3 linked regions of the Arabidopsis thaliana genome follow. The protein of the gene in region 3 interacts with the protein of the main gene of each other region in a pairwise test. Each region holds a gene or a part of one and is shown on either strand. Other genes may lie near its edges.

Region 1 (8,521 bases), on a different chromosome or scaffold from region 3:
AAGAGAAACAATCACTTGCTATTGTTAATTTGTTATATGTGCATCGTATTGATTCAAAGTGAATATTGTGAGATAACAAAAATTTCCTTATATCTAAGTGATAATGTAATAATAGGGAAAAAAGACTGAGATTCGATTTCTCGATGAGCTGTTAGATTAGCACATAATAAAGACAGATGGGATGGGAATGATTTTCCGACATAATTGTACTATTATTACTTTCCTATTAAAGATTAAAGTTGATGAATGAATTCTGCCTGTTGCCATTTTTCTTTCTCATGTTCATTTTTTCTTTCTTACGAATGAAATCACTAGGAAAGATTGCGTTGCGTATCAGTTTTTTCTTCTGTTGTAAATAATGAGTGTTGATGTATGTGTTAAATGCTCGTGTAAATTTTGAAAGTGTTTTTAGTATTGTGAGATTAATGTCTCTACTACACTACATACAATTTTCTATAGATTATGATAATGCAATTTTCTCAATCAATACGTTAATATTTAGTGTAGTAGACAGAATGCAATTGACAAAAAAGCAAAGAGAAAACAACTAAAACATGCATATAAATAAGAAACCAAGGCAAAGAGAGTAAAAGCCTTTTAGGCTTCAGCTTTCTTAAAAGTTTGCTATGGGGAGAAACCAGGAAGGTCCATTAGCCCAAAACTTATAATATCAATTAGAGAAAGAGATGCAAATCACCCAAAGGAAAAAAATAGGAGAAACAATGGCCTTATAAAAAAATGTAGGTGGTGGAACATTGTAAGAAGATTCTAGAGACCCTGTTCGAGGAGGTAATCACCCAACCTCTCGACGACCATGTTGCACTGTCCTGGTGTCACTGGCTCTTCATAGATCCCAAACACACATGACTGTCCTGTTTTCTTTATCGTTATGCCTCCTGCTCCCTAATTGAAAGAAGCATATATTGAATTAGAACCCTCTTCAACATGGTATTTGCATATCTGATCATGAAGCTACTGATTAGGTTACCTTCTTGCCACGGATTACAGCCCCGGGCTCACCTTGGATCACCATGTACTTTGCTCCTGCCATGAATAATCCCGTGGGTGCCAAGTGACCCGGTTCGTCGAAATCTTTCATAATATCACTGAACTCCTGTCCCTTGAACTATATGAAAGACCAAATCACGATTAGTCGATTACCATGAGACAACATGCATCATTTGTTTTCAAATCTATGCAAAACATATAAAAAGAAACACACACACACAAAATACACTATATATATATCCCATGACAAACATTGATAGAATCTAATCAAAACATGATGCATGATCTAAATCACATTGTAAAAACACATATCATATCGGATAGCAACACTATCAGGATCTAAATCACATTGAGATCAGACGCAATGAAATCAAATACCTGAGGGAAGTTGGCGCTCTGAGCCCAAACGCTACCGTCATGACCAACGATAGCGGCAGCAGTAAGGTGGTGTCCTTGACCATCGCCAACATCACACATCAAATGCTCATCAACGTAAGTTTGCCACGACATCTTCTTCTTCTTTTCTTATTTTTTTTCTTCTTCTTTGTTTATGATCTATACGTTAAGTGCCCCGGTTATGTGCAGCGTGGGGACTTCGTCCTTCAGATAAATAGGAGAGGAAGGAACAAGGATCATTTTAAAACCGTTGGATCACATAGACGAATTCTCAGCCCTACATCTTACTTTTTCTTCAAAAAAACAAGGAGTGATTTTCAATTAGTGCCGCTCAAGTTTCGCCTTTGTTATAGCTCAATCATTGTTTCGCTATTTGCCACGTCTACTTTCTTCCCTTTTCCTATTTCCCCTATTTATAAACGATCACCAACGGCATTTTAGAGGAAGGACCGAAGGAATGATTATTTACTCGTTAGTCGTAATCTTGTTAGCCAATAATAATATTATGTCCTAAAAAATTCAAACTTGTTACGACCAAACTCTTTGGTCACGAATTTAATAACTTATCTAGATAGATATTCAAACTCGTTACGTCCAAATTCTTATGTCACAAATTTCATTTGATTATATTCATAGTGGCTATAGTTTATCGAATTCAATTTAGTAAGGAGATGATTGCTAGACAAAAACAAAAACATAGAAACATGAACCACATTTTGAAAAGAACATTGTATTAAAACCTCAAAGATTCTTCCTACAGAGTCATATATTCAAAAACTGTACTGTTCGAAAACACAAAGCTACCTGGGATTAGTTAGTGGCATTGTTTGAAAAAGATTTGATATGATGAAAACAAAGAAACTCGAGAAGATTTCTATTTCAGTCGGTGAGACGATATGATCGACCTCTGAATGCTGTGTTTGAACTCTCGGGTGGGGCACGAGCGCTTGAATAAGCTCCTCCTCCTCCTACTCCTCCTCCAGCTCCGGGTCCTGCTGCTCCTACACCACCTGCTTGTCGAACACTTGCAACTGGAGCTCCAATTCGCCATCTTGCTACGATTTTATTACTGTTGAGAATGTCAAGGTACAACAGCAAAACAAAAACTGAGAAGCGAGAGAAACAATCATCTGGAAATAATCGAGAATTTGAATAAAGGATACACCCATTTTGGGGTTTTCAGGTAGTTTTTTCCGGTAGCAAGAGGATGAAGGACTGTTAGGAAGTAGTATAGATGTCCAGCTATGATGCCAAGAAGATCTGGCATGATCGGAGAACCGAAGATAACATCAAGTGCTAGCATTGCCCATGGGAGGTAGAAAGCCTGTGGAGTAATTCCAACTTTCACCATTAACATTATATATACCAAGGAGTGGATTTGATTACAAAAGAAACACTTTCAATACCTTAAGAGTGACAAGACCGTATAGGCTGATGTTGGCATTTGGAAATTCTCGGCTCCAGAGATAAAGAAGCATGAACACAAGTGAAACACCAAGAAACGGTGTCCAGAAAAATGGTATGACTGATAATACCTGAAATTTGAACAAGGTAACTGTTTTAACACACGGATTTACTAGTATGAATACCTTCCAAAATTTTGTCTCGCTTTAATAAAATGCAACCCTGATTCAATTCTTTGAGAGCTTCTGATCTTCTCAGCTTTGGGATATTATGTACCAGCGATTATCTACTTTGTGGCATACCACATACTAGTACTGGGGTTCTCAAAGAACCAATAACAATGATCAGTAAGAATAGAATACAGGGGAGGCTTTACATACCAATAGAGTGAAGGATCCAAAGATCATCATCCACAAAAAGTCTGCTGTCCGCCTTTCAAATGGCCCTTTCTCGAGTTGAACTCCATATCTTGCTCTGCACAATCATTTAAAAGAGTATGTTAAGATAATAAAAATCGAAATTAGCTTTGTTCATCTATATATGTGAAAATAGTATGCTCACATCATCAAAAGACGTATTCCAAAATTGATAGAGAAACCACCGAGGAAAAACAAGTTTGTTATCAGCCTCCAGATCTACAAACACCAAATAGATCAAAAATTGCAGAATGAATTAGGAACTTAGGATGACAGAGATTTGTGAGAAAGAAAGGAAAATCATAAAAAAGAATAAATCATATACCTGGAACTGCTTAAGTACAAGTTCAGGAATTAAAGCAATGTGAACGGGAGCAACTAAGCCAAGCTGCGTGGCTACTGTAGTGAAAAAGCACAACGTACCATAAGCCTTGGTTATAGGTGGAAGTGAGTTATAGAATCTGCAATCAATAACAAGCGATCTAAGAAACAATTTGACAGATAAACAATCAAAATCATACATATTCCATCCATCTATAAATTTCTAATCAGGAAATGTCATCAAGATCAGCTAAAGCATAAAACTTTACCACAAGAGACAAGCCTACGCAGAGATATTTTAGACTATCGTAGCTAGGAGAATCAAAGTAGCCTTGTAACTATGATACAGCAAACGAGAACAGTTTTGCTTCAAGACACTATGAGATTCCATATTTCAAGAACTAACTACCAGTTGACTTGTACTAACTTCCATGGCATAAAAGATGTTTCTTTACATCTCAAATCACCAAAATATCAAATGATGACAATGCAAATTGATAACTATATACTAAAAATAGCGTTAGCTCAAGTTCACAGAACTCGCTTGGTGTTGCAAAATTACGCTCGAATTGAGAAGAATCAACAGTTGAATGCTTCAAAAACCCCTATACAAGCTAAACGAATCATGAAAATTATTAACCTAAGGACTCAAAATCCTGGGTACGAAGACCAAGCTAAGAATCTCTCGATCAAAATCGAATCGAAGCAAAGTTTCAATAGAGGGGAACGGAACTCACTCGCCAGGAGAAGACATGTTCGTCGATTTTCGAAGATCCGAGGTTCTGAGTCCGATTCAAGATTCGAGATCCGATATAAGCTTTGAGAGCACCGCAAAACAGAAGCTCGAAAGTTCCAGAATTTTTTTTCCTTCTAATCATCTGAAAACTCAAATCACTTGTTTTTGTTAGGCAGCTGCGTAAGTTATCCAATCATACCTTGCCACGTCGTGTTAATTCACCGTCTTGAATACGTGGCACGTTTTAATTTGTAATCGTGTTTAAACTTGTGGGATCAATTTCTCTTCTTTCTGATGCGTCTCTACTCTCTAGTAGTCTGTCTCTATGATGATCCCCAGTTGGCCAGTTTATTGAATTGGGCCAAAGAGGCTTTTATTTGACCCATTAATAGATCAGGCTCGAATTAGATATGTTTATAAATGTTTTTTTCTTTGCCAAAAAAAATAATGTAAGAATATGAACCCTAACAAATTAACAAGAAAAGACAATGCAAAGGGAATCTAATCTCAAGGAATATCAAAATTAGAGAAACATTAGCATTAAAGCAATGATCTTTCGCAAGTATGGTCGGAACCAAAGATCCGAGATTTATTATTAGTTTCAATAATAATGTGTTTTTAAGGTAATTAAACAGAAAATCAAGATTATTTAACCTGGATTAGGTACGGGAGAGGGTCCATGTGCATGTGACGGGTCCCAACCAGATAATCTTGACCCGATTCGATCTCACTCCTTGTCTGCTGACTCATCCTTACGTCATTCCACACAATGCTTTGTTATTTGTTATTTTGTTGGTTTTGCGTGGAACTGCAAGGTAAATTGATCAATAATAATAATGTATTTTCTAATTATAATCTGCTAAAAATAATATTGTAATTTCTCATTAACTGTAAACAATTTTAGTATTAAAAGAATTTTACAATGAATTTCAAAACTGATTTGATGTTGTCCTATGTAGTTTTAAACAAATAGTAGTAGACGTTCTTTTCATAACTTAGAAAGATTATTGTGATATTGAGCAATATCGATCTTCAATGTTTATATTTGAATAAGAATCTCAAGATTTAAAAATAATTTCTTAAACACAATCAATAGGGTTGGTACATAAACAATTACAAGTTTTTTAACAGTAAAAACCGTTTATACCGTTATGTTCTTGTACTGCTTTATTTTATTTTTACCTCACAATAGAACGAGATATCTCTTCTCGTTACAAATCACACCTAGCTAATACAACATAATACCTATTGTTGAATACAAATATTAAGATACGATACGGAGACAATATCTGAACTATAATTAAGTTGATAAGCATTTTTGGCACCACATTACGAGATATGCCAATATGCCACTTGGTTTCTTTTGGAGTATATGCGAAATATAAGTTTGATCAAAGAGTAGTGTTAGTGCTTAGGTGGTTAACATATGTTTGATAAAAAATGTGACATGGTATAGATCATGTGAGTTGTTAGATACGTTATAAGATTTCATTTCATGACCTTATATAACTTATTAAATATTAGTTCGTTGTAATGTTCCTAAGTTAGAGCTTTTTATTGGTCGTTACGTTGGAGGCTACGTAAGTGGGTTTCATGCATAGTCACGCGAAAACAGCTTTTGGACGGCTAAATACCCCTTCTAATTATATGATTGATTAAAAAACATGTATAATCTACACAGTTAACAGTTTACTAACTATACTTTTTTACATTATCGTTGAGAAAATGAATAAGATTAAAGGGTCCCTAGATTAAATGTGAGTGGAAAAGAAAAGAAAAAAGGTTTTGGTTCTTTTGGATTGTTTGACCTATCGATAGAGACATCGCAATGGAACTTGCCAATGGCGAGAGAGGAACATGCAAATTTCATTACATTGTGATAAGTTAAATCCCGGAAAAGGAGGGAGGAGAGAAAACGACATATTTGCAACCAAAAGAAAAAAGTGATAGAAAGATGCGTTTAAAAAAGCAAACAAACTAAAATCATTTATGAACAAGGAAAACAAGAGACCGAGCTTGTCAAATGGCAAAAATGGTGGACCTATCCATGTTTCAGTAATTCGCATGTTTAATGTCGGGAAACTAGTTTTTCGTTTTTTTCTCCCATTGTTTTGTGATAGAAATGACAAATTTAATACTCACAAATTTAAAACCACCCACATATTTAGCTAAACTCACAACTGATAAATGTGATTCTTAGTATTTGAATCGAAAAAGAGTGGTAAGGTAAGTTCAATACTTCCCCACCAAAAAAAATATAACATTAGAAAAATCTAGTTGATCAATAGTGTTAACATGCAAATTCCGTATGTATATGATAAATAGCAAACTATATTTTTCGTGATTTAAATAACTCTGGATGCAAATGGCCGAACATTGTTTTTCAAAACCAAATTGGAATCAGTGGGTTGAACGAATCCGACCAATATCCATATCAAAACTGATTCTGAATAAATCGGACCTAGTGCCTAGTATAGTAGCTTGGCCCTAGCGCATAGCTAGTAAATTGATTGTTCGAGGTTTTGTTTTCATTTGCGAGAAGAGTATTATTACTTACATGCATTGGTTATTTTGTTTCCTTCATTTTTTATCTCTTTTTTTGTCAAAGCCATAGATGCATTGAATATTCATCAGGAAAAAAAGAAAAAATTAGCAACTTGGGCAAATGTCTTCTTAAAACATTAATGTATTACCAAATGCGAAATAGAAGAGAAACTTGTTACGTCCTTTCATAGACATTAAAAAATAGAGAGACATATCTATTTCAAGATCTTTGCACGTGATCGAGATGTTTTTATTGTTTTTGGCTAACATATATCCAAGTTAGAGCAGAAGATATCAAAAGAATATTATGGATGGCAATGAATCATTTTCAGTGAAGCAAATAGTACGTTCCTTAAATCAATTAGGGTACTAAAGTTTTGCAATAATCCATTCAATAATAGTATCTCTCTCTCTTTTCTTTACCAAAAGGCTTTTATTGTCCTATAACTTATGAACATCAAGAGAGGTAAGTGCATTTTATCACCTACAATATTAGTATGGAACGTAACATATAGACCTTCTAAATTGGTACATAAGTCCTAATTACTCTAACCAAACAGCGGAATAAAATGTAAAATTCTATATGAAATGCGAATTACCATAAATTTACTCGAGCTTATATGTCTATTTTTCTTTATAATTTTTGTCGTCAATTAATGTATAAAGGATTTCGTAGCATATTACATGCATGTGGCCGTAATACGGAAAGAACCAAATCACTAATTTTTAATAACCAAGTCTCCTCTTTAATGGGAGGACCCATTATCGAACAACATAATATATTAACTATCGAAATACCATAAGTTTATTGAAATTACCTAGAGTAATCATAAACTCTAGGGTCGTCAAATGAATTACGCAATGTCAAATATGAGATATATAGTGTTCATGTTTGGTAACAATTCATTTCGACCATGACCAACATCGTAGACAAGACATATAATTACAGTTAAACACAAATATCGACTTGTTCTCTCTTTTTTTGGTTGATAAGTATTAAGTAGTAATGATTTTTTTTTCCTCCGCTAATAAATTCCTTCACCTCATTAAAAGAAGCTTCATATACAAGTTCGTTTATCCTTAAACCAAAAGAAAGTGAAAAGGTTTCTATTATAAAAATAAAAGTCAACTATGTGGATATGTACGTGAACTTGCTGTTTTAGCACTGATTTCAGTTAAAACGTTTTCTCTTTTGGTTTTCCAGTGAGCTATTGTATTGTACAAGAATCAATCATATGGTATGAATGAGTCTTGCATGCCTATATATAATTGCAATTATTATTGTGATACTATATACTTACATCATATTGTTTTAACAATTACACGGGATTGGAGTTTATTCTTGGTTAGTCTGTATATTTAACCATCTAAACACAAATTTTCATTAATTAGTTTCAATCTAAAGTTTTTCTTTTGCTTTGGGAGTAAGCCAACACATTTCATGGTCGGTCTCTCTAACATCATGTTCATGCTGAACGTGTGCTCCTTTGTGTTATTTTAGTTTTCCAAAAAGTTTTGCGCCTAGTACTATAGTTTTGGACCTATGTCTATAATTCTTTCGGACCAGAGAGACTCAAAGATTGAAAACTAGTCTGACTATCTATTGTTGAACATGAAGAAAGTTTCTAAATATGATTAGTGTTGTCTTGTGAATCATTAAAATAAATTAGCGAAAGAGTTAATTGATTCGAGTAAT
Region 2 (7,559 bases), on a different chromosome or scaffold from region 3:
TCGTAGTTGTTTTGTCTATGGCATTAACACCTTATCTTAACCAACTTGGAAGAAAAGCCGCCGATTTTCTTGATGAGAGACTTGATCCCGGAGAGGTAACTTTTAAATTTTCTACTTTTGCATTTATATGAAAAATAAAATTTGCATTCATCTTGAATCTGTTGACAATTGTGCAGAAAATAGGTGAAGATGTGAACTTCGATGTTAGTGAATCAATTGTCATCATTGGATTTGGACAAATGGGTCAGGTAAAAGTCATCATTTGCTTTCCTGGAAAAGTTGTGCTAAGTGGTTTCTCATCGAGTCGATATGATTTTGCAGGTTCTGGCCAATTTTTTGTCAACGCCATTGGTCTCAGATAGTGATCTTGTGGGATGGCCTTATATTGGTTTTGATCTGAATCCTGCTGTAGTGAAGGTCTGTAACAGATAACTTCGTTTGTTCCTGACCTGATCAAATTTTTGGCATTCTAAACTAGTTTTTTCTTTATGGTGGTGGTTTGGTAGGAATCAAGGAAACTCGGTTTCCCGATATTGTATGGAGACGGATCTCGACCATCGGTTTTGCAATCTGCAGGGGTTTCATCTCCTAAAGCTATCATGATAATGTATAAAGGCAAGAAGAGAACCACTGAGGCTGTTCAAAGACTCCGTCTTGCCTTCCCCGGGGTTATTTCTCTCTTCCTTCTTCCTTTTGTCAATAAAATCGTTTGAGACATCAAGTTTAAGTGACAACAACTGTTCCTTTTAACATATTACCAGAGTCCTATTTACGCAAGAGCTCAAGATTTACCGCATCTCCTTGAACTAAAGAAAGCAGGAGCCACAGATGCAATTCTCGAAAATGCAGAGGTAAAAAACTTCCAAAAGATGTCTGCTCTTTTATGATCACAGTAAGATTTCTTTCTGAACGAGTTTGGTTGTTTGTTTCGGGTTTATAGACAAGTTTACAGCTCGGTTCGAAGCTGTTGACAGGATTTGGAGTAATGTCTGACGACGTAAGCTTTCTAAGTAAAGTTTTCAGAGATTCAATGGAGATACAAGCTCAAGAAGAAATCACAGCTAGTGAAACAAATGCTGGTTTGAAGCCAATGCAAATGAAAGCATCTGATATAAACGTAGTGTCTGCTGCAACACAAAAACAAGTCCAGCTCATGAAGCCAATGCAAATGAAAGCTTCTGATTCAAACTCAGATTCTGCAGCAGAGATTCTTCAAGAAACAGCTGGTTTGAGTCAGCCTCCTGAGATTGATGATTCTTCTGTGAATATAGATAATGGATTTGTTGGTAAAGCTGATAAAGCTCAAGATTAAAATTGCTCAAAAATTCTAACACTTTTTTTTTTTTTTCTGAAATGTGCAGCCAATATTCCAAACTAAAAGAAACAATTTTTTCTTTTCTTTTCTGTGATTATTATTATTATTATTATTTTTCCTCACTATCACTGTCGCTAAAAAGCCAATAGTTAGCTCAAATTCATTAAATATCTTCACTGTCTAGGTACTATTGAATCATGGATATTAGTGCCAATATAAATTCGAACATAATCCAATGTTGGTCTTTACAATGAAATGAATTGAAACAGATTTGATTATATTACTAAAGAAACAAAAAAAAATATAGTAAAAAAATATGAAATCCACACAAATTAAACATGGAAATTTAGAAAGAAAAAAAGTAGTTTCTAAATCTTAAAACATAGATATTGATTTTAATCCTTGATCAAATAATCCCTCATAAAATTGTAATTTAAGTCGTTTTGTTTAGGGTTATATTACTATCTATACTCAGATGATCGGAAAATTAATAAACTATGCATGATAAAAAATGGGGTTGCGGGTATGATATTTATGGGGTTGTGGGTATTATAAACATAACGATATAATATCTATTTGTGTTTCGACACGAATCAAAGATAGTGGGACGCTTAAGTAACATTAATATCACGATAATCTCTTATCTGCTAACACGAGCCTTTTTATTCGAAGCCTTTTAAAATAAGTCTCAAACAATTGTGTACGAGGATAATTTGATAACAGGATAATTTCATATCGATTCCACACGTTGTCGCTTTGGGTTTTGAACAAGAATCAAAACTTATATTGCTATTTAATAATATTAGTATCGCGATAATCTCGTATCTGCTAACGCAAAACTAATAACACTCTCTGATTACTAACCGTGTACGGCTAACATGATAAGTTTGTATCTGATAAACACGATAACGTTTAGTTAGTTTTTTTTTAAAAACCCATAAGCAAAAGCCTACAAGTGGAAATGGTAACGAAGTTAGTCGTTAAAACTACTAGCAGATAATTAAAATAATAACGAGACGATGTCAATTTGTGTTTTGACACGAATCAAAGCTAGTGAGACGCTTCGGTAACATTAAAACATACACTCTTATCCGCTAACGCGAGCCTCTTGTTTGTAGCCTTTTAAATTAAGTCTCAACGAGCTTAGCTGGTGACAATGTTAGTCGATATACCTTCTAGCAAATAAGCAAAACAATAATGAGAGTTTCGCAGGTTGTATTCTGATGTTTTGCAAAAATAATCAAAACTATTTACATTTTCTGATAATCAACGGTATCACGATAATCTTATAACCAATAACAAAATAATTTCGTGGCTGCTAATCACGATATCATTTTAGTTAATTTATTAAAAAAATCCCATAAACAAAGGCCGAGAGGTTGAAATGGTAACAATGTTGGGCGATAACACATTCTGATAACATTAGTATCACGCTAATCCCTTATCTTCTGATAAACATTAATCCTCTCGCCGCGAAGTTCTTTGCCAAAAGCAATCAGACGGGGAGGGAGAAGAATCGGCAGCATCGTTCCTAGAAAAAAAAACATAAATCCTTGTAAAACAACTCAAGATAGGAAGTCAAAATCAAAATAAAAAGGAAACATCTATATCGATTACTAGCAAAAGACGCGAGGAACAAAGCACAAATCTGATAGATGAACTTCTGTTCGAAAAACAGAACGAAATAAAACAAGAATTTGGAGGAATCATTTCTTTTTTTCTTACGCCTCAAAACGACAGTCTCTTATCTTCATACAAAACTGGAAAGAGACGAGTAACTACGTAAGAAAAAAAAACCATTAATAAAATAACACAACTTCCCAAATATATCTACATAAAATCTTCTTCTACACTACTGCAATAATATCCCTCTACAAGCTACAACTTACGCAATCGATAATATAGGGGTACATGTGTAAAATTTTTGTTAACAGTGTTGGGCAAACAGTGCAAAATGAAGAGAGTGAATTAACAAGTTTTCGAAGCATATCAAGTGATATTTTTGTTTATATGAGTTTTGAGGACTGACTTCGTCTAAGGTTTGTTCGTGGCAATAAAAATAAAGGTTCGAGTTTTTTGGGAGCTGAGACAATCACGCAGATGTCTGAGCTTCACAGATTATTCTCAGACAATGTTTATTCTTCAAACGACTACTGATATCGTTTGTGCTTTCTTTGTAGTATTTTTTGTTGTAATCATAGGTTTTTTAGTTTTAGTTATAGATTTTAGTTTTCTGTTTTTCTTTTCTAAAATGATATATAAATTATAAATACTTTTTTTGTTATCAGATATTGTTTAAGACTCGACCCAAAATTATAAATACATTGATGAAAAAAAATAGTATATAGCTGATGTAATCCACGCGCTTGCTGATTAGTCGTGCTCATGTAATTAAACAAATATCGCAAATGTTAAACTATTATACACATATAAATTTCTGTATATACAAAACAAACGAAGAAGACGAATCTCTCAGTTTCGTCGTTCGTTTCGAAGTTGTGCGTTGGTGAAATTTGAAATCTGAATACACTCATTGCAAACCTTAGAAGAAGAAGAAGAAGAAGAAGAAGAAGCTTCCATAGATTCCGTTGGGCTTTTACTGTGTTTGATTGATCGGATCGATTGCGATTACGGAGAAGATATGGCTCAGGCTGTAGAAGAATGGTATAAACAGATGCCGATTATCACTCGCTCTTATCTCACGGCGGCTGTTATCACCACCGTCGGATGTTCCCTCGATGTACGTGCTTGCTTGCTTATTCGCGAATCTTTTTTGGGGTTCTCTGAAATTCTCTAAATTAGGGTTTCATATTCTGATTGTTTTTGTTTTGCAGATCATATCTCCATATAACCTTTATTTGAATCCGACACTTGTGGTGAAGCAATACCAATATTGGCGTCTCGTTACTAATTTCTTGTATTTCCGGAAGATGGGTAATTTTCCCTTAACACTACTCTATGAAACTGGATACAACATTTGTGTGCTTATTACTTTCATATGAAGCTCTTGTCTTTGTCACATTATTAGCTCTAGGCTGCTACTTGTTAATAGCGTTGTGACTGATTGATTGCTTATAAACAAATATGTGTTTGGGGTTGTTGTAGATTTGGACTTCATGTTCCATATGTTCTTTCTCGCACGATACTGCAAACTCCTTGAAGAAAACTCATTCAGGGGAAAGACTGCTGATTTCCTATACATGCTCCTATTTGGAGCATCTGTTTTAACCGGTATTGTACTTATCGGTGGAATGATACCATACTTGTCAGCATCATTTGCTAAAATCATCTTCCTCAGCAACTCATTAACTTTCATGATGGTTGGTAACTTCTGTTTCCCACAAATCTAAGTCGCCTCTAAATATCAGCTTATAGTCTCTTGTGTTCCACAGGTCTATGTATGGAGCAAACAAAATCCTTATATTCACATGAGTTTCCTTGGTCTGTTCACCTTCACAGCAGCTTACCTACCATGGGTGAGTTTAACTCTCTCGTTTCCCTAAACTTCCACCGGAATGAATAAATAACATCTTCTGCAAATTCTGGCTTTTGCAGGTGCTTCTTGGCTTCTCTATCCTTGTTGGTGCCAGTGCTTGGGTGGATCTTTTGGTATATACTCAGATTATCCCAAAAAATTTCTTCTCCAGTCTCTTTTGATCTTTTGTCACCCAAGTTAACTTCAGTCTGATCAAAACATTTCAGGGTATGATAGCAGGTCACGCTTACTACTTTCTGGCTGAGGTTTATCCGCGAATGACTAATCGTCGTCCATTAAAGACTCCATCATTCCTCAAAGCGTTATTTGCAGATGAACCAGTTGTGGTTGCACGGCCAGAAGATGTGAGGTTTGCTGCTGCGCCTTTCGATGAAATCCACCAAGACTGATTCTGTCATCTTACATTTCCCAAACCTAAACACCCGAATCAGTAGTTTGGCTTGTGGATCAGATATAAATGGTGCAAAGGCAGATGATACACAAAAGTCTATTTTGACTCTGACACGTAGTTGCGACCCACACACCCTAGTTTCTAGTAGTTGGGTGTGTTTTGGTTCCTTCTCTTTCCTCCCATCTCTTCATCTTTTTGTGTATACAAACATCGTTTGCTTTTAGTGGTTATTGATATGAACACACTCAATTTGTACACAACCTCTACTAGTGTCGCAATGTTTTAGCGAGGGAACATGTTTTGAATTCACTGCCCGACTCAGATATCAGAAGAAATGTACTTTTGTTCAGATATCAGAACAAATGTTTCATTGCTTTTAGTACATTTTTTTTCCTTTTCTATTTCAGTTAGCAGTAGAAAACAGTGAGAGCTGCGTATTCCGGAAAACAACAAGACATGTTCAAGCTTCTTTAATTAAGCATGTGCCTCGTGTGTGAAGTTTATAAATGTTGGAAACTAGAAACTATGATCTCTTAATCATAGATATAGGTCTCTTCTTCCAGTATTGTACACCATAAGCTGCAGTTGAAGCCATAGTCGTCGAAGCAACTAACCAGCTGGATACAAAACAACATGAGACCAATAACAAGATTTCAGAGAACACACTTCATATGTTTATAACTTTAAGGGTAGTGATTAGTCCAGCTGTGTGGTAATTCGAAAAAGACCTATTACCTTAGATAAGTGATCCATGTCTGGGTGTCTGGATTCCCAAACTCTGGTTGAAGTATTGCACCAGCGACTAGAGTCAACTGGAAAACTGTATTCACCTGTCGATAGACATGTTCCATTAACAAATCAGTTACACATACCAAAGATGCCAAGATGAGAACAAGCTGTATCACCTAGAGATCATACCTTGCTTATAAACAATGGTTCTACTTTCTGAGGACTTGAACCATCTAGATTGAAGAAGTCACTCCAAGTTTTCCACTGAAAGAAACAAGACCAATATGATTCCCATCAATAAATTTATTCGTGTTCTTGTTAAAGCATATGGTCGAGCAGGAAAAAAATGTAGGGAAACAAGAGAAATTAGTTTAGTGGTCTAGCTCAAGTTACAAAAATTCACCTTCCAGTCCAAGTTTAGTGCCCTTAGGTAAACTGCACCACCAACGAGTGCAACATCCCGTAACAACACAATTCCAACCAGTCCAGCTTTAGAGCACAAATGTCCCATGCATCCACCAAAATTGAGTATAGTATCAAAGATTTTTAAGAAGTTTAAAAGGTAGTAGTGCAATCTAGGACTAACACACACAGCCGAGTTTAGCAACTAGTTAATTAACTTAGTACGGTTTCCTCTTGATACATCCATGCAATCTTGTAAGGAGGTTTGTTCAAGGAGATCAAATAACTGTGCTTATGAAATTATGAATACGACAATTCTGATACATTTTTCCCAGGCGATCACTCAATTGGAGTGTAAATCAAAGCACATGTTCCTTATAAGAGAAAATTCCGCCCTTCAACTTTGTGAACTCTAGCTATTTCAAAGTTTCAATTGTAACTGCTAACTTATTATCTACCAGGAGTAAAAGAGGTAGAAGAATACTCACGATGTAAGAGATCCTTCTGCACCATTGCTACTGCTACACACCCGATAAGAACCTGAATTCAAAACACGAGCACAATCAAGAAAACGGAATTGAAATGAAATGAAACCTCACACATGTTTGCAGCTTGAAACTAACCTTAACTCTCAAACACATTCAGAGAACATCCACAATGAGCCAACAAAGTAAAACACATAATAGATAAAGAAAGACTTTACCTTGTCTGCAAGAGGATCAAGGTACGAGCCAACCACAGAGTTAATCTTCATCCTCCGAGCCACGTAACCATCTAACTACAAAATCAAGCATCTATTAATACAATGTTCTTCTTCCAATACTACAAAAAAGAAAAAAGAATCACAAAGAAGATGCATACCCAATCACTAGCTCCAGAAACAGCCAACCCTAAGAAAGCAGAAGAATACATCTCATTCGAGATCATCCTACAATAGAACCACAAACAAAGTCTCAGATTCTTCATTCTCCTAATATTATCTTCCTGAGGAATATATACTTCTATACTTACCACCAAAGCACAGGACCAGATACTAATCTCGCCATTGATATCATATTCGGCACATTAACAAAACTCTTGACTAATTTTCCACCATCTTCTTCCTTGGAATCGTTGCGATCCACCGTCAATATGTTTGGTACCACAGACTGTAACCCTAACTGTCTCGGAAACCTAGTTCTGCTTCTAATTCGATCCAATCTAAGATTCAGAGCTTCGACTTTTTT
Region 3 (7,962 bases):
TACCATCAGCCATCCACGTTGCTTTTACCACCTCAACCCCATCTGGCGGCAATACACCCCCATTTTTCTCTCGGGCAATTCGCTTCTCCTTGAGCTCTTCTCTCATGTTGAACTGTTCAGCTCTTTTCTTGATTTGTTCTGGAAGACCATTGATCCTGACCTTGAATTCGTCATACTCACGCTTGATCCAACGACGATCTTTGACGAAATCTTGCCTTTTCTTGTTTTTTGTTGGGTCCTTTTTAATGCTAAAGTAACTATCCGGGTTCCGTGGCTCTATATCATGTTTTCTGCAAAATGGCACCCAATACTGCAAACAAAATTCAAAACCATTTAGATTTTTGCCACCATCTAATAGACTAGTTAAGATACAGAGGGAGAGAAAGCGGAAATGAAACCTCAGCAAAACGAACAGCTTCAGCCATAGCTTCAAAGGTGAGAATTGCACCACCATCGTCAGAAATGTAAGCAGAAAGCTTCTCAATTGGATAATCCACAGCAAGGATCGAGAGAAGGGTGTTTGCAGTGACTAAAGGCGGTTCCTTCTCAGGGTCAGCCGTGGAAACGAACACATCAACACCGGGAAGATCAGAGCGACCAGTGGGATTTGACGGAGAGGGCTGCTCAAACTTGTCATGCAAGGCAGCAAGGTCAGTAGCTCTATTTATAGGGTTTAGCTTCGGAAGAATGTCAAGAATCCAAGAGAAAGCGAACCAAATCTCGCAGACTATCGATAGTCCCCATAACCACATTGCATCCTCATTAGGGTTCGTAATACGCCACCAAAGGAAGAAGAAGACTATCACAAGACGAATCACGATTAATAACCTGAAACAAGGGGACTAATTGTAAGATTTTGATGTTCTGTAATAGACATCAATAAAAGAAGCAGAAAATCTTGAGGGGTTTTAAAATGTGAAAACAAACAATCACCTGTAGGGACTAAGAATTTTGGCCGGGATCTGAACTTTCCTCGTGAGAGGTTTCCATGGCTTGTCTAAGAAATCGGACTTGCTAACGCCACCATCATAGGTATCATCCTCTTCTGACCAAAACGCGTTTCCAATACCGTATTTTCCTTTAGATTCAAACAACCACCTGTTATGATCAAAATCTCCCGTCTGGCTCCTCAACAACATTGATTTGTTATTTGATTTCATGACAGACAATCTCCTCTCCAGCTTATTCCCCATCTTGGGCCCGTCTCCTCCTCCTCCACCTCGGTTAGCATCACCTTTAGACTCCGAGGTGGAGCCAGAGGAGCCAGCAGGTTGGTTGTCAGGTGTTGGAGGCATGAGGACGGTGTAGTTGATGTAATCATTTTGGCCGGAGTAATCACCAGAGACGTCCATGTCATCGTCACGGGAGAGGCTAACAATGCGACCACTGGACGTCCGGCGACCAAACTTGACAGCTTGTGGAGGCCGGCTTAAGGAAGAAGATTGTGAATTTAAGGTCTTCTTGGGTGGACTTGAAGCCATTACAATTATGGAATTATCTTGTTTTGGGTCGTTTGGTTTCTTCAGAGAGAAACTGAACCCATTTTTTTTTATTTTTTTTTGACAAACCTGATTTAGGAAAAGAGGAAAATAAGAAAACAGAGGAATGAGTTTGGAAGGAAATGTAAAAGCTTTAGAATTTCAACGGTTAATAGATCCTTTTCTATTATAAGGAAAACTTAAAACTGAAATCTTTTGAGTTCTGAAATCTCCTTTCTTTGTGCTTTGCCTCTCTCTATCTCAATGAAGGTTGCTTATCAATGGTTAAAAGATTGTGTATAACATTGTGAGAAAACTAGATAGATCAAATCATCGAAAATGATAACAAAGATACACATAAAAACACTCTCTCTAATACAATATCAGACTCTAAAGCTAGAAACCAAGGGTTTAGCTTTACCAAATTTCCCTAATTTAACAAGCATTGAATTTCACATAGGAGGGGAATCAGAAACAATACCAAAGCAGGTCACAGGTGCATTTGGATTACTCATCTCTGTCTGTTTCCTTAACAATGCATCGCAGTCGCAGCTATCCATCGGTTAGACGCCAAATCACCTCCAGTCCAGAAGCCTTCGGACCGGCGTCGGAGGTGTCTCCGCAGGTCGTTTCGATTTCAGTAGTCGAGAACTTGAGCGCGTCGTCTTCAACATGGCTAGCCGACTAATCGTTTAGAAGAATCGAAATCAGACGAATCGTTTCCGTAATTAGGGAAGCAGAAGAGAAAGGTTCGAGCGAGGTGATGTGGCAGCAACGAAAGAAACGAACTAACCGGAGACTCTGCTGAAGGACGAAAAAAAAAAAAAGACTCTGCTGAACCGGTCAGACCAAACAGACTCGTCTCCAATCTAGGCTATGTTACACCGTTATCACCATCACTGCAAATTCGCAACTAGAGCCTTCATTAAGACATCAACAGACCAGAGCAATTTGTAAGTTGCCAATTACATATTTAAATCTCGTCACAGTATTGGTTCGCAAGAATCAGTGTCAGTACCAGTAATAGCAAAAACATTCATACATATATATGGCCTATACAAAACCAATTTCAAAGAAGAAAGGACATACATATATGTATAATATTTATGTACAACCTAAGTAGAAAGGACATAGCAGAAATTAGAAATTAGAAACCACAAAAAGAAAGCAGCACAACGAACTGAATGAAGATATTCTCAGAGATCTTGGGAAGCACAGAGCGCAGTCGATAACGCCGGGAAGAAATGTTCCAGACTTATTTACCGCAGTTGAATCCCCCACAAACCGAGAGGATGATGATGAGAATCAAGGCAATGATAATTGCAAGGACAATGAGTTTTATCTTCATGTTCTGAAACCACTTCTTCCTTTTCATTTGAGTTCTTTTTATATAGAAAGCTTGCGGCTGTGACTGTGACAGTTTCGAGTTCAATTAAAAGTTGGAAACCCAAGACAACATTAGTAAGAGAGAACTGGCAACTCAAGCATATCTATGTGTATGGAACTTAGAACCATATGCCTAAGAGAACTAACCTCTGAACTACCCAGCATCTCACATATCACACCACGGGCAAGAACCTGCAAATGAATGTGTTCCACAATGTAAAAACGGTCAGCATACATGCCTATACAACCCAGAACTGGACATTCCCCTCATCAATTTAAAGGTTAAGGAACCAAAAGATCATGACACTTAACTCATACGAGCTTAACTCTACTGGAAATAGATTAAAACATAAAATTATACCATTAACAGAAAAAAGGGTCAGAATCGAACCTTCTCAATGTTTTCCATCATTAAACTTTTAACTTCAGACACTTGAGCTTTAGCTTTAGCAAGGTTGCTAATCTCATCAGGATGATCCATGCAATACTGCATGTGCTCTTTCAGATTCGACCTTTAGAGCAGCCAAAAAGGAGTCTGTCATTGACATGAATAATACAAACTTCTCAATACCAATCATATAGATCAAAAAACACATACCCAAATTCTTTATTCAAGCTATTTGCTTGATCAGTTGCAGCCTTTTCACCACCATATCTCTTATAAAAATCCTCCTTCACGCGTTCCAAGAAAGCCATAGGAATCTCCCTCCCAGCAGAATCAACTGCAACAACACAATAGGCTGCACAAACATATCCCTCATAAGAAACTTAAAAAATATAATAAAGAGTCCATATGATATGGACCATATCCAACGTCATCAAAACCCAACTAAGTTTAATTAAAACAGAGCAATATAATAAACACAATACACCAATGCAATTTACTCGAGCGATATATATCCACAAATTTCCCAAACAACTCTCATTTGAAAAACCAGCCAAATTCATGAAAACAAAAGCTACACGCAAAGAAGCCAAGAATCATAGATTCATAATAAGAATTGCATAGATGCTTAAATAGATCCACCAAACATATCACTGATTATAGATCTAACATCAATTAATTATCAAACCCAATACATAACTATTCCTGAAATTATACCAAACGGTAAACACATAAGAACTCGACTCAGATAAGTCATAGAGATATACCAAACATAAGAACTCGATTCTCAAATGCTCAATTAGGTAAAAAGAAATCTAATCCAAACAATGAATAAATCGACTAATCGAAAACACAATCACAAACACATCACGAGCAATATTTTGACTCACTGAATCCATTTTCGACGAGGTCGTTGAACGTATGACCATCGCAGTTGTAGGTAAACTTGTTGTTCGAGGAAGGAAGATTCTCAAGGTACTGAGCAGCGACAGATGTGAAATTGCCTTTGAAATCTGTGAACTCGACGAGGATTACGGTGCCGCGAGCGATGAAACTGTAGAACAACGATTGTTGCGCCATTATTTTGGTTCCTTAAAAAACGACGCGAATCTAATTCGATCTTACGGGACCGATATTAGAGATTTATATCGGCGAGCACGAAAGCTTTAGAGATCTAGAAAACTTGACGCTGAAACGCGTAGAGAATCGAAGACTAAGCCAAGTAAAACCACTGACCAAGACAACACGTTTGTCCGAACTTGCATTTGTTCTTACATGCTGCACCACAGTTTTAGTCGACAGGAAGTGGCTGATTTGCCGCAATAAGGAGATCACTTTCATTTCCTGCAAATACACATAACCGCGACATCAGCCGGAGGTGGCTCCGCAAGTCGCCTCGATTTCAGCAGTCGAAATCTTGAGCTCAGCATGGCAATCAATTCGAAGAAATTCCAAAATCTCAGAAAATCAGGCGAATGTTTCCGAAATTAGGGAAGCAGAGGAGAAAGCGTTTGAGCAAACCCTTAATGAACTAACCGGAGACTCTGGTGAATCGGTCAGACGAAACCGTGTTAATTACATATTCATCTCCATTTAATATTAACCGGCTGTGGACTATGCTTATACCTCACTGCAATCCGCAACTAGAGTCTCATCAACAGACCAAAGAAATTAGTAAATTGCCAAGAACAAGTATCGTCCAAATATTGGTTTGCAAGAATTAGTGTCAGTACCAGCAATAGCAACATTGCAGATTGTCGAACATGCATACATATATGTATAATATATATAGCCTATACAAAACAAATTTCAAGAAGTACAATCTAAGAAGAAACATATAGTATGAGAATATAGAAATCACAAAAACAAAAACAAAACAAAAAGGTAGCACAACGAACTGAATGAAGATATTCTCAGAGATCTTGGGAAGCACAGAGCGCAGTCGATAACGCCGGGAAGAAATGTTCCAGACTTATTTACCGCAGTTGAATCCCCCACAAATTGAGAGGATGATGATGAGAATCAAGGCAATGATAATTGCAAGGACAATGAGCTTTATCTTCATGTTCTGAAACCACATCTTTCTTCTCATTTGAGTTCCTTGTGTTCTAAAATCTTGCGCCTGTGATAAAGTCGAGTTCAAATTTAAAGTTAGAAACCCAAGAAACAACAATCAGTAAGAGAAAGCTGCAAACTCTTGCATGTCTCTGTGTGGGTCTATTGACTTTGAACCATTTAGAAAACAAACCTGTGAGCGAAGGTTTTCTGTTTTGTCAACCAAAAGCTCAATCTTCTCACCACGGTCAAGAACCTGCAAACGAATGCATAAACGAGTTAACAACAGAATATGTCTTCACAACCGAGAATAAAACATTCCTCTCTACAGTTTATGCTTTACGAATCATAAGATCCTGGTACTAAAGTCATACAAGCTGAACTCTGTTCGAAAAGGTTTACAACATAAAACTATATCGATAAAAAGAAAAAAGGGTCAGAATCAAACCTTCTCAATGTTTTCCATCATAACACCTTTAACTTCAGACACTTGAGCTTTAACCTTAGCAAGCTTGCTAATCTCATCAGGATGATCCATGCAATACTGCATATGCTCTTTCAGTTTCGACCTTTAGAGAAGCCAAAAAGAAGTCCATCAATAACTATGCCCATGAATCATAGACCCTTTTCAATACCAATCAAAGAGATCAAAAAACACATACCCAAATTCTTTATTCAAGCTGTTTGCTTGAGCAGTTGCAGCCTTTCCACCACCATATCTCTTGTTGAAATCCTCCTTAACTCGTTCCAAGAAAGCCATAGGAATCTGCCTCCCAGCAGAATCAACTGCAACAACACAATAGGCTGCACAAACGAAAACAAAACCGGTCCATTTTAAACTCTATATTAAGAGATAAAGCAATAGATTCATCAATATATCGCTGATAAGAAAGTTAACACTATCATAAAGAGACCATATCCGCCATCAACATCACCCAAAACCCAATTAGGTTTAGTAAAACAGAGTTACATAAAGAACACAATACACTAATGCCAAAAACTTCATGATATCGAAAGCTACACGCAAATAAGCAAAGAATCAATAGATCCAGAACAAAAATTGCAAATATTCATTGATAGATCCACCAAAAATATCACTGATTACCATAGATCTAACATCAATTAATTATCAACGCCAATACATAATTATTACTGGAAACTATACCAAACATAAGAACTCGATTCATATTTCTCAATTAGGCAAAAAATCTAATTCAAACAATGGATAAATCAAAACACAAACAAGCTACGCTTACAGATCGAGCAATATTTTGACTCACTGAATCCATTTTCGACGAGGTAATTGAACGTGTGACCATCGCAGTTGTAGGTAAACTTGTTGTTAGAAGAAGGAAGCTTCTGAAGGCACTGAGCAGCGATTGATGTGAAATTGCCTTTGAAATCTGTGAACTCAACGAGGATAACGGTACCACGAGCGACGAAACTGTAGATCAACGATTGTTGCGCCATTTTTTTTACTCAAAAACGACGCGAATCCGATTTTACGGGACCGATCTCAGAGATTTATATTGGCGAGCACGAAGGCTTTAGAGATCTAGAAGACTTGACGCTGAAACGCGTAGAGAATCGAGGACTAAAAGAGAATACGGTGAAAAAGAAAAGTGTAGGAGAAATCTTAACGTAGTTGAAGAAGAAAAATCAAACCCTTGAGTTTTAGAGGGCAAAAAAGTTATATTTCAGAAAGATTTATGCAGATTGTGCAAATTGAAACAATCTTGAACTTGAGGACCTAAAAGCAAATTCAAATAATCAACTTGTGGGGTTTTAAAAAGTTGGTGATGTTGGTGTAATGGTATTTTGTTATTTGATAGTTTCAACGTATTTTTATCAGCGAAAATGAATTTGGATAAGCTAGTTTGAACTTTGACCTTTGAATAATTGGTTCCTATATTATCTAAATCTACTATTAAAATTTAAAACTTAAAAGTCATCAAAGATTATTACATGTGGTTGGATAATAATTTTATAAATTGTCTTTTTTGGGGTATTTGTAGAAAATTTGGCATATTTGGGGTTTTGGTGTAATCTAAATTAAATGACTAAATAAGAATATTTTCAAAGTTATAGGAAAGTTCAATGGTCTAGTCACCATAATAAATGATAATCTACAATTCTACATGCATCCCATGTCCGCTCCTATTAATTCAAATCTATTTTTTTCTTGATTTAATTGTACTTAGAGGTTGCTTACTATTGTAATATATATACCTGAATTTCACGTGTACACTTCTAAAGTGTATCTTATATTTACAACAAGACTATATTTTGTATTTAAAGTTGAAATTGGTAGGTGTGAATGTGTGATAGTTTTGGAGGAATGGTTTGGAAATATATCGATCGTTTAAATAAAATAAAACAAGAATATGGTGCGAGAGAAGGGATCAATTTGTTTGAACTTGACCGCAAAAATACTTTACGATGAGATCAATTTTCACTCGTCAATCATTTGGTGAGAAAAGGATGACAATTTCTAAACGAAGTTTATTCTAACTCTCTAGGAGATAATGCCTCAAAGGCTTACAAATTGCAATAAAATATAATAATAAGAAATGTGATTGGAAATACTAATTAAAAATAAAATAAAACACACCAACGAAAGGAAGAAGAAGAAGAAGAGAGAGGTGGTTTATGTTTAAT

The links.
Region 1: the proteins of VAMP723 (region 3) and DER1 interact in a protein complementation assay, tested with the Arabidopsis thaliana proteins (one large-scale study listed by BioGRID).
Region 2: the proteins of VAMP723 (region 3) and DER2.2 interact in a protein complementation assay, tested with the Arabidopsis thaliana proteins (one large-scale study listed by BioGRID).

The regions. Positions count from the first base shown.
Region 1 is NC_003075.7:14,440,715-14,449,235, reverse strand, and holds DER1 (DERLIN-1), read right to left. Parts: upstream 4,684-8,521; 5' UTR 4,300-4,683; coding exon 4,283-4,299; intron 3,686-4,282; coding exon 3,550-3,685; intron 3,444-3,549; coding exon 3,370-3,443; intron 3,283-3,369; coding exon 3,189-3,282; intron 2,940-3,188; coding exon 2,811-2,939; intron 2,729-2,810; coding exon 2,568-2,728; coding exon of another isoform or gene 2,531-2,567; exon of another isoform or gene 2,474-2,530; coding exon 2,284-2,473; 3' UTR 1,999-2,283; downstream 1-1,998. Other genes in the region: PRF4 (profilin 4), read right to left, coding at 769-903, 989-1,126, 1,387-1,518. UniProt on the Arabidopsis thaliana protein: May be involved in the degradation process of specific misfolded endoplasmic reticulum (ER) luminal proteins.
Region 2 is NC_003075.7:2,456,179-2,463,737, forward strand, and holds DER2.2 (DERLIN-2.2), read left to right. Parts: upstream 1-3,674; 5' UTR 3,675-3,956; coding exon 3,957-4,055; intron 4,056-4,149; coding exon 4,150-4,249; exon of another isoform or gene 4,250-4,420; coding exon 4,421-4,635; intron 4,636-4,707; coding exon 4,708-4,791; intron 4,792-4,870; coding exon 4,871-4,924; intron 4,925-5,017; coding exon 5,018-5,200; 3' UTR 5,201-5,561; downstream 5,562-7,559. Other genes in the region: KEA3 (K+ efflux antiporter 3), read left to right, coding at 1-95, 177-248, 322-417, 507-668, 762-851, 941-1,312; CLS (cardiolipin synthase), read right to left, coding at 5,726-5,819, 5,938-6,032, 6,121-6,195, 6,335-6,420, 6,822-6,873, 7,037-7,111, 7,195-7,261, 7,345-7,559. UniProt on the Arabidopsis thaliana protein: May be involved in the degradation process of specific misfolded endoplasmic reticulum (ER) luminal proteins.
Region 3 is NC_003071.7:14,038,564-14,046,525, forward strand, and holds VAMP723 (vesicle-associated membrane protein 723), read right to left. Parts: upstream 4,827-7,962; 5' UTR 4,330-4,826; coding exon 4,140-4,329; intron 3,605-4,139; coding exon 3,463-3,604; intron 3,377-3,462; coding exon 3,256-3,376; intron 3,057-3,255; coding exon 3,012-3,056; coding exon of another isoform or gene 2,937-3,011; exon of another isoform or gene 2,890-2,936; coding exon 2,734-2,889; 3' UTR 2,475-2,733; downstream 1-2,474. Other genes in the region: CSLD1 (cellulose synthase-like D1), read right to left, coding at 1-310, 399-828, 934-1,481; SAR1 (synaptobrevin-related protein 1), read right to left, coding at 5,222-5,371, 5,498-5,560, 5,753-5,873, 5,967-6,108, 6,561-6,774; RALFL18 (ralf-like 18), read right to left, coding at 7,958-7,962. UniProt on the Arabidopsis thaliana protein: Involved in the targeting and/or fusion of transport vesicles to their target membrane.